Coturnix japonica: one gene and its partner. The protein of the gene in region 1 binds, or shares a complex with, the protein of each later gene. Links are inferred from orthologs where the notes say so. Each region holds a gene or a part of one and is shown in the gene's direction. Other genes may lie near its edges.

Region 1 (4,213 bases):
TCTTTTATAAACCCATCCTCAATGTCCTGCCCAGAAAAAAAAGGATACAAATAAAAAGATGAGCACCTGAATGCGACTTGCCACCGAGTCTCTGTCATGAAACCAAATGCCCCCATGAAAGCGAATGTTCCCCTGGGGGACGCAGCCCACCACGGAGCTGCCCAGAGCCTCCTCACTTCTCCCACCAGCCCAGCAGGTGCTGTGCTGAGACAAGGGCAGATCCCAGACGTTAGCAGCCAAAGGGAAGTGTCGTTTGGAGTTTGTCTCATCCTGAGTCCGATCCATGCTGTTCTGACACTGGTCCTTTATTTTTACGTTCTATATTTCTCTGTTTTTTCTTATTACAATGGATTCTACATGCAAGAGTTTTTTGTTTGTCAGAAAAGAAACACGTCTGTCATCCAATGGTCGTCAACCAGTTGCACTCTTTTGATGTAGATTTAAGAACTTCTTTTTCATAAACTTAACCGCTTTTGTTTTGCTCTGTATTTTCCCTGCAGCTGTAATTGCTGAGTGCCTGTTGTATACTTTATAGAGTTGAAATAAAAATAATTACTTTTGAGCAGCGTGTTGACATCTGTCTTCAGCAGGAGTCGGCTTGGGGGTGGTTCTGCTGTTCGGCTGGGTTATTTTACCCCTGCTTTGTGGTGATCTGAAGTAGGAGACAGTGAGCCAAGCACAGTGTTGTGTGACACTGCAGAGAGATGCGGTTGCTGTGATCAATAGGCAGTGGACATGAACATCCCAATGGGTGGGTGGGGGTCCTGCATGACACATCATGGGCATCTCCAGCCCACGTTACTCCGTGACCACACAGAGCAGTAAGCATCCTTACAGCACATTTGCTCTTCAGGGGTGAGCGGTACACCTGGTGCTTTCCACGCTGCTACTAGGAGCAGGTGCAGGGCATGTAGGGCACAGAGACCTGATGCCAGTTGTGATCAATACCTACCCCAGAGCTGCTCGCAGGTGGGGCTGTCCCTGTCCCTGCTGTCACAGAGGATGAGTGCTGGGAGAGAAGGCAAAAAGCTGACACTGCCAGGGGACAGGGCTGGTCCCTCCTGGGCAGAATGCACTGGGGCCACATGGCTTAAGTGTGGCAATGGGGCACAATGGCTGTCAGCAGCCGCACCGGACACCAGCTTGTGGCCCAGTGGGAAGGAACGATGCCAGAGCTCAGCAGCGACGTGATGGGGATGAGCCTGATCCCCGCCGGTACCTGCTCAGGCGGTACCACCATAAGCCATAAGCATCACTGTCAATTTGAGCCGGGGCTGCCCATTCTCCCGGAACGGGGCGGCCCATTCTCCCATTAAAAAAATTAAATACAATAAAAAGAAGTGAGGAGCGCGACGCTACGGGCGCGTGTGGCCAACGGAGCTCTCCTCGCTGCAGTACCATGTCGTGGCCGCCAGGGGGCGCAACGGCGCAACGGCGCCGTCGGGGGGCCCCGAGGGCGAGGGGCGGGGGGAGCCGCCCCCCTTTGATCTCCGCGCATCAAAGGCACAGCCCGGCCCGGCCCCGCTCCCCCCGCCGCGGCGCAGCCCCCCCGGCCGAGGTCAGCCGAGTGCACGGGGGGGCTCCGACGGGGCGGGCTCTCATCCAGCCCCCCCAAACTCCGCGGGGCCGGGGGTGCGGAGCGGCCCCTTCCTGCGGGTCTGCGCTGGCGCCAGGAAGGGAGCGCGGCGGAGCTACCGCCGCCGTTGCGAAATCCCCTCCCTCGGGGGGGGGGGAACAGCGGCACAGCCCCCCGGGGCCCTTTGAAATCCCATCCCTCCTCCCCGAAGGGCGGGCGCAGGAGGCAGCCCCCCGGGTATAAAGAGGCAGCGGCGGGCAGGTAGCGCTGCTCGGGGGCACGGAGCGCGGCGCTGAAGTACGGACGGGACGGGGCGGACGGGTCGGGACGGACGGGCGATGCGGGCTCTGCTGGCGCTGCTGGCGGCCCTGAGCTGCGCGGGGCGGGCGGGGGCCGGCGGCGGCCTCAGCTCTAACGCCATCAAGGTGGGGGCGGCCGCCAGCGCCGCCCCCGCCGCCGCCGCCCCCGCGCCCTTCGACGGCAGCAACAAGGCGCCGCCGGCCGCCACCCGGCAGGTAGGAGCGGGGCGGCCCGGGGTCTGCCGGGGGTTACCGGGCGGTGGGAAGCGGCGCTGACTCCTCTGCCCGCCCGCAGCCTTTCCCTTGCTCAGAGGACGAGGACTGCGGCCCCGACGAATTCTGCGGTGGGGCGGCCCGCGGCAGTGGCCCCCCGCTCTGCCTCGCGTGCCGGAGACGCCGCAAGCGCTGCCTACGCGACGCCATGTGCTGCCCGGGCACGGCCTGCAGCAACGGTGAGGGGCGGCCGGGCCGGGGTGGGGGGGCGAGCGTGGCGGGGATGGGATGGGATGGGATGGGATGGGATGGGATGGGATGGGATGGGATGGGATGGGATGGGATGGNGGATGGGATGGGATGGGATGGGATGGGATGGGATGGGATGGGATGGGGGGTGGGAAGTGGACACGGGGGGGCTGACGGCGCCGCCTCCCCCTCCCCGCCCCGCAGGGCTCTGCACGCCCCCCGAACCCCCGCCCGGCGCTCCCGAGCTGGACGAGCCCGGCCCCGAGGCGCTGCCCCGACGGACGCCCGCTCCCGCCTGGCCGCCCGACGCCAAAGGTAAGCACGGCCCCGGGGAGCGGCGCGGCCGCGGGCGCCGTCGGAGCTCGGCACTGACCTCCCGCCCGCAGGTGAGGAGGGCGACTTCTGCCTGCGCTCGTCGGACTGTGCGGCGGGGCTGTGCTGCGCCCGCCACTTCTGGTCCAAGATCTGCAAACCCGTCCTGCGCGAGGGGCAGGTGTGTACCCGGCACCGCCGGAAAGGAGCCCACGGCCTCGAGATCTTCCAGCGCTGCCCCTGCGCCGAGGGCATGGCGTGCCGCCCGCAGCGCGACCGCGGCGGTCCCGACGCCTCCCGCCTGCACACTTGCCAGCGGAACTGAGCGACGCCGGGGGGCGGACCGAGGATGGACGGACGGACGGACGGACGGACGGGGGGACGGACTCTAGCCCCGCTCGTGGGAGCTCCCCGCTGTGCGCGCAGCCGGAGCGGAAGGTTGTTTCTCGAGGGAACTACACTTAAGCGACTGATTGCAGTACGTTACTGTGTTGTGAATATGGAGGTGGCACTTAGTGTACAGACGTTCCGAGTGAGCCGCCCGGGCGCTCCTCCAGCCGGGACTGGGACGTGGTACGCGGTACGCGCTGGGTTTCCAGTTGCGCTCGATGGACGCGGCCGCCCCTTCAGGTGAAGGGCAGCCCACGCTGCGCGGTGCCACGCTCCGGGGCGATGCCCCGCGGAGGCGGCGGGGTCGCAGAGCGGGACCTCAGCGGCCCCGGCCCTGAGCCGTGCGGTCGGCGCCGCTCTGGGCACAATAAAGTCTATTTTTCGCTTCACGTGGCAGTACGTCGCTGAGTTCTTCCCTCTGGGGTGGCGTGGAGGGAGGGAAAGGTGCGGGTGGGAGGGTGGGAGCCCTCCCGGCCCCTTGCAGTGCCGTCTGCGGGGATGCTCCTGAGGCACAACCTCCCTTTTGGTGCTTTACCGCGACCTGACCTCCAGCACTAATGCCTGTGGCATTAACTCTCCTGCTTAGAGACCTCCGGGGCTGCCCAGACAGCTGACATACCGAGACAGGGACCGAGCCTGACAGAGCTCCCTGCAGTGTGCCCGTGCACCGAGGGTGGCTGCTGTCGGAGAGTGGCTGAGGTCGGCGCTGTGCTGCCCCAGCCCAGCACTGACCCAAGGCAGTGGGTTTGGTCTGGCTGTGCTCACGGTGCAGGGAATGGATTTTCCCGGTGCTGCAGCCTGAACTTGCTTGGAGCATCCCAGCAAATGAGGTCATGCTTCAAAGGCTTGAGCACGGCAGTTACGTTTTAAAAGCAGCTATTGTTTTACAGCATAAAAAGCACCGTTCCACAACACTGCAGTTGCAATTGTGCCCAACACCAGCCGCTCACACTGGGGTGATGCCAGCAGCTGGCTGTGTGCGGAGGCACGGCTGGTATTTAGATGCGCTCAGCCCTGGTGTTGGGGTGACATATTTCGTCCCTAACGACATACGAAACAGTATCATTGAGTTCAGCATCACAATGTATCAAGACTTTCCCACTCATTCAGATTTCTCATCCTCCCCCTGAGCACCGGCCTCGGGCCGCCCCTTCTGCTGCCGAGCAGAGGCTCC
Region 2 (5,133 bases), on another chromosome or scaffold:
GTGTAAGTATCTTCATTTTTCCCCTGCTTTTTATATACCTCACAACAGCCAAAAGAGATTTCAGCACGTTTTTTACTGTATGGTTATGTACAATGGGAGCTTTCTGTATACAAAGAATTAGGTGTATCATAGTGTGTATTGATGTAACAGAGAAAGCACAGAAACTGTGTTTCGTGGCTGATACATTCAGAGTAGTAAAATGGGTCTCTCCTTTGTAGGTGTTTGAAGGTATCATTACATAGCAGAAGTATGAAGAAGCTGTAAGGGCAAGATGCAATGACAGGGGCTTCAAACTAAAAGAAGGGAGATTGAGGTTGGATGAGAGGAAGCAATTCTTCACTCAGAGGGCAGTGAGACCCTGGCAGTGCTGCCCTGAGCTGTGGGTGCCCCATCCCTGGAGGTGCCTGAGGCCATGGATGGGCCCTGGGCAGCCTGAGCTGGGGGCAGCCAGCACATGGCAGGGGTGGGGCTGGGGGGGTCTCTGTGATCCCCTCCAACCTCGGCCATTCTGTCATTCTCTGATTTGTGTTAGACAAAACAAGTCTAACTTTTCCCTCATCGCTTTCTGTTTGTTTGCTTGGTTCTTTTTTTGCTGTTGGTGTTTGCTTTCTGTTATTTACTTTATAGCTAAGAAATGCTGGCTCTGCTAAAATGCCTCACGACTCAGCGAAGAAACCTTTGCAGAAGTCTAGACTATGGCCTCATTATGTATACCCTTAAGAAATAGCTTTCCTGCCCACATGGAGGTAGAAAAGGAAGAAAAGGAAAGCCACCTGCACTTGTATTCACCATTTTTCAAATAGAGACAGTGAACTCATCCCCTCAGTTCTGTGCTCTGTCAGTAGCTGTGTATTTGCCTCTGTGTATGCTACGTTAACATAGACTCACTGAATGGCTGGAGTTGGAAGGGACCCCTGCAGGCCGTCTGGTCCCACTGTCTGCAGTTCCATCAGTGCTCACAGCTCCGTCTCTTGACCTATCTCCCCCGTTCTATTTAGAGACCATTTCCCCTTGTCCTATCACACAGAACCTGCTGAAGGCTCTGTCCCTTCATTCTTACAGCCCCTTAGACACTGACTCTCTCAGCCTCTCCTCGGAGGGGAGGTGTTCCATCCCTTGCTTCAGTTTTGTGGCCCTCCTCTGCATGTGTCTATGCACTGGAGAAGTCCGTGTGCTCGTCTCTGTGTCTACGTCCGTACTTATGTGTTTGAAGCTGAGTACTTGTGTATGCCTCCGGCTGAGTCCCTGCATCTCCCCGCACACCCTCCGGCCCGCGAAGGGCTGTATAGAGCCATAGCGCAAAGATTACAGCGGTCTTCTCCCCGCCCTCCCCTAAGGGAAGAAAAGATGCTCCGCATCTGCGCGCTCCGTTCTGCTGGCAGGCAGCCCCCGGGACCGCCAGGCTGGCACGGCCTCGGGGCTGCGGGGCTCCGCGGGGAAGGCAGAGGGACACGGGGGGGATGCCGAGAGCTCGGCGCTGCCTGCGGGGCTCTTTGGTTCCGTGACTGATCCGTGCGGGGTTCGCCCCGAGGAGCGCTCCGCGGAGCCCCGTCTGCGGGCGGCACGACCCGAACCCGTCGGTGTCAAACGTAAAAGCGGTTCCTCTCCGCGGTTCGGCGCCGCAGCGGGGAGCAGCAGGTTGGGATGTTGGTTTCTATCCTTTCCTGTCACATGGCTGGTAATAGGATCCCTCATCTGCCACTCGGCACCTCGCTGGGGCGCACTTACAGGACACATGCTGTAGGGCCTCCGCTTTCCGCACATCGCGCTGCTCCCGGCCGCCCGCGACCACCTCCGCTCCGGAACGCGGTGCGGCCCGGCGGCCCCGGCCCATGGAGCCGCCCCCTCTCGCCGCCGTCGTGGCCATATCGGGACTGGCGCTGAGCTGCTGCCGAGAGCCCGGTCTGTCCGGTGAGTGAGTGAGTGAGTGACACCCGGCGGGGACGCGGGGGGAGCCGGGCTGAGCGGACGGAGCCGCTCGCGGATCTTCTGGAGGGGATTGAGAGGCGACAGAGCCGCAGTTTGTACCCGAGCTCAGCGGACCCGAGGCTGGCACCGAGCTCTGCCGCCCGGCAGCACCGAGCTCTGCTGCGATCAGCCAGCCCGGGGCAGCGCGCTGGAGCTCGATGATCTTTATGGTCCCCTCCAGCCGAAGTCGTTCTGTGATTCTGTGGTCGGGTTCGCGATAACATCCCTTCCTTATCGCCAGCTCCGTGCGCGGTGCCAGGTCCGGAGCGGCTGATCAGGACGGTCCGAGATACACGGTCCTTCTGGATGTGCTCAATAGCTGAATCTTCCTTATTCTGCTCGATACAGGATTTGCACTGCTTCCTCCAGCTATGAATAGACGCTTATCTTCACATTATGTAGATACACCTAGAATCATAGAATGGTTGGAATTGGAAGGGACCCCCAAAGACCATCTGTTCCCACTGCCTGCAGTGCTCAGGGACACCCACAGCTCCATCAGTGCTCACAGCCCCGTCCCCTGACCGTGACTGTCTGCAGGGATAGGGAACCACCACCTCTCTGGGCACCCTGTGCCTCACTGCCCTCAGTGTGAACAACTTATTTATACCCAACCTAAACTTCCCCTCTTTTAGTTTGAAACCATTTCCCCACATCCTATCAATCCTACCATGTCTGATTATCAGACCCAGTACCATCAGGCTGTGTTTGATGCACTCTTGGTCATCTTTTCTTTATTGAAGAGTGTAATCTTTTTTCCAAACACAACTGTAGACGGAACACGCTGTGTAAGCAGCCAAGTTTCACAGCAGCTGCATGTGAGCATGTGGAGGATATATCCCTATAGGAGTGTTTGGTTCCTAGGCAGTGTAGAGACCTCTGTGCACATCCATGCTCTGACTGCATACACCCACAGCCACAATAACCCAATATTACAGTGAGTAAATATGTAGCAAAGATGATGGATCTAGGAAGCACAGCCACCTACCTTCCAGTCTGTATTAATTCAGTCACTGAGATCTGCAGTACTCAAAGCTCAGTCATACCATATTTCTCAGGAATTGAGGGGGGGAGTGGTGAATAGGTTCCCTATTGAAAGAATACATTGCCTAATTAAAGGGTTTTCTGAATTTGGTGCTTTTTGTGTTACAAAGAAACTGAGAAGTCTCTGAAATGTCACTTTCATTGAAGAAATGTTTTATATACGCAGTGCAATAGGCTGTCTTTTCTAGTTTCTATACTTATAGCCTTTTAATTTCCCACTCAGAAGTGTGTTTGATTTCCCCGCTTCCTTTCTCTGTTATCTTTCTGTTCAGCAGTAGTGGATCTCTATGCCTGTGGTTTCCTTCCTTATCGCTGTTGTTTCACCCATCTCTTTGTGTAAAGCAGCTCTGCTTTGTGTTCCTTCAGCAGCCATCATGCAAATCATCCAGCAAGCAGTTCTAAGCAGGCCGAGATAGTCACCCTAGGCACTTTGGGAGATCGTGCTCATACATGCACAGAGCCTAACTCAAAATCCGGAGTTATGAATGGATTTTGGTAGGGTGGAGCCAACGGAGTGGGAAGGAGGCTGGGATTACACGCTGCCAGCTGCTCATTTTGTCATATCACACCACAGCGGTTGTGCAATTGAGCACTCCCTCCATCTGCACAGTGGCTGAGGCCCACGCTGGTAAAATTTCCGGAGGGATTCGGTCTGCCACACTTGACAGTGGAACAACAGATTTAAAAGTTCACAAAGAAAACAAATGGGTGTATTAAGGAGCAGAAATTCCTCTGGGGCTACATCATGCATTCTTAGTTCCAGTGATAAAGAATCCCAGGACAAGTGTGGTGGTGGAACTGTACCTCTGTCTGCTCCCAGGCTGTGCCAATGGATGCTGAGGATGAGGTTTGACTCAGTGTCATTGGGGCCGCTCTATGTTCCGGACCAACATGAAATGTGACTGTTCTGGAGCAGCTGAGGACCTGTAAAGATGATGTGTGTGTGCCTGTGTGGGATGAGGGATTTTTAAGCTACATACAGAATGTGTCTATACTGCATAGGGGAAACCTTCTGCTCCAGTGCCCTCATGGCATCACAGCAGCCTTTCACTGGCCTTATCCTCCCCAAAATCATTTATTTTCCATCATAACATATTACGGAATAAGGTTTTTTTCCTGACCAATCCTATGAAAATACGCAAATGAACATTTGGTTCAATCAATAAAACTGCATCTTCAAAGAAAACCATTGCGCTACTAAAAATATTTTTAATAATGACCACAGAAGCCATATTTGTCTCTTTGATCTCCTGGAGCTTCTTCTGGTTTTAATCAGCATTCCCACATGCAGAATTGTGGCAGCCTATGATAATAGAATCTCTATTCGCTTATCCATAGGGAAACAAAAACGCTCTCATCTGAGGAAGGTAATTGGGTGCTGTGCCCCTTCCATCCGTGGGCCTCCGTCGCTGCTGGGGTGTCTTGGCATCAGTTAAGTGGTTTCTGTCCTTTCCTCTGTGCCTTACTCTCTCATTGAAGTGTTTCTGCTGTCTAATTATACCCTTTCAATCAAATTAGAGACTGCAGCATCTGGTTAGTGCCTGTAACTGTTGCCATCTGCACCTAGATACAGGGCTTGCGTTTAAGGAGGAGTGCTGCGATTACAGGCTGCAGCAAAGGCAAGGAGAGTAGTTTTGGTAGAATGGAAATCACCTGAAGCTCTTCTTAAAGCACTATTAAAATGTGTGCACCAAGCAGCTGAGACACAGTCCTTATTGGACTCAGCCCACGCTCTTATCCACACACATTTTGGGAGCCTTTCCTTATTGCTTCAGCCTTACAGAACATTTAAAGTTCTGGCTGTTGTGCTCCTGCCGCCAAACATCATATTTCAATGTCAGCCGTTTTCATTTAGCTTTGTTGATTCTTTTATCTGTATATCCTTAAAAGAAAATGCTGCTTCTTGTGGGGATGTTGCTGGTCAGATCTCTCCTGTTCTCCCTACCCAGAGCAAACAAATAGATAAGCAACTTCATCATTATTATTTTTGTTCTGTGAAATAGGAGTGAGTTTGTTACTCTGAATTTTCAGTCTCCCACAAAGCTGTGTATGCACCCCAGGCACACAAGAGCACTCTTACACCATCCTGAATCTCTGTCTCTTTGGTCTCCAGTTGGCGCA

The links. Proteins that work in one complex are often made in the same cells at the same time.
Region 2: the proteins of DKK1 (region 1) and KREMEN1 are in contact, whole or in part, in a crystal structure (PDB 5FWW), measured with the Homo sapiens proteins. The link is inferred for Coturnix japonica from reciprocal best matches to the Homo sapiens genes DKK1 and KREMEN1. Residues at the interface, in NP_036374.1 of Homo sapiens: Cys189, Leu190, Arg191, Ser192, Ser193, Cys201, Arg203, Trp206, Ser207, Lys208, Lys222, His223, Arg224, Arg225, Lys226, Gly227, His229, Gly230, Leu231, His261; in XP_011528731.1 of Homo sapiens: Pro67, Asn88, Asp90, Asp92, Ser94, Trp96, Gly105, Val106, Tyr107, Trp108, Tyr110, Asp127, His128, Gly129, Pro132, Thr140, Asn142, Glu164, Ser165, Tyr167, Ala168, Phe170, Asn189, Val191, Phe193, His196, Asp203, Gly204.

The regions. Positions count from the first base shown.
Region 1 is NC_029521.1:5,371,820-5,376,032, reverse strand, and holds DKK1 (dickkopf-related protein 1), read left to right. Parts: upstream 1-1,834; 5' UTR 1,835-1,914; coding exon 1,915-2,091; intron 2,092-2,170; coding exon 2,171-2,327; intron 2,328-2,541; coding exon 2,542-2,652; intron 2,653-2,723; coding exon 2,724-2,974; 3' UTR 2,975-3,428; downstream 3,429-4,213. UniProt on the Homo sapiens protein: Antagonizes canonical Wnt signaling by inhibiting LRP5/6 interaction with Wnt and by forming a ternary complex with the transmembrane protein KREMEN that promotes internalization of LRP5/6.
Region 2 is NC_029530.1:6,891,739-6,896,871, reverse strand, and holds the start of KREMEN1 (kremen protein 1), read left to right. Parts: upstream 1-1,707; 5' UTR 1,708-1,832; coding exon 1,833-1,911; intron 1,912-5,133. UniProt on the Homo sapiens protein: Receptor for Dickkopf proteins. Cooperates with DKK1/2 to inhibit Wnt/beta-catenin signaling by promoting the endocytosis of Wnt receptors LRP5 and LRP6.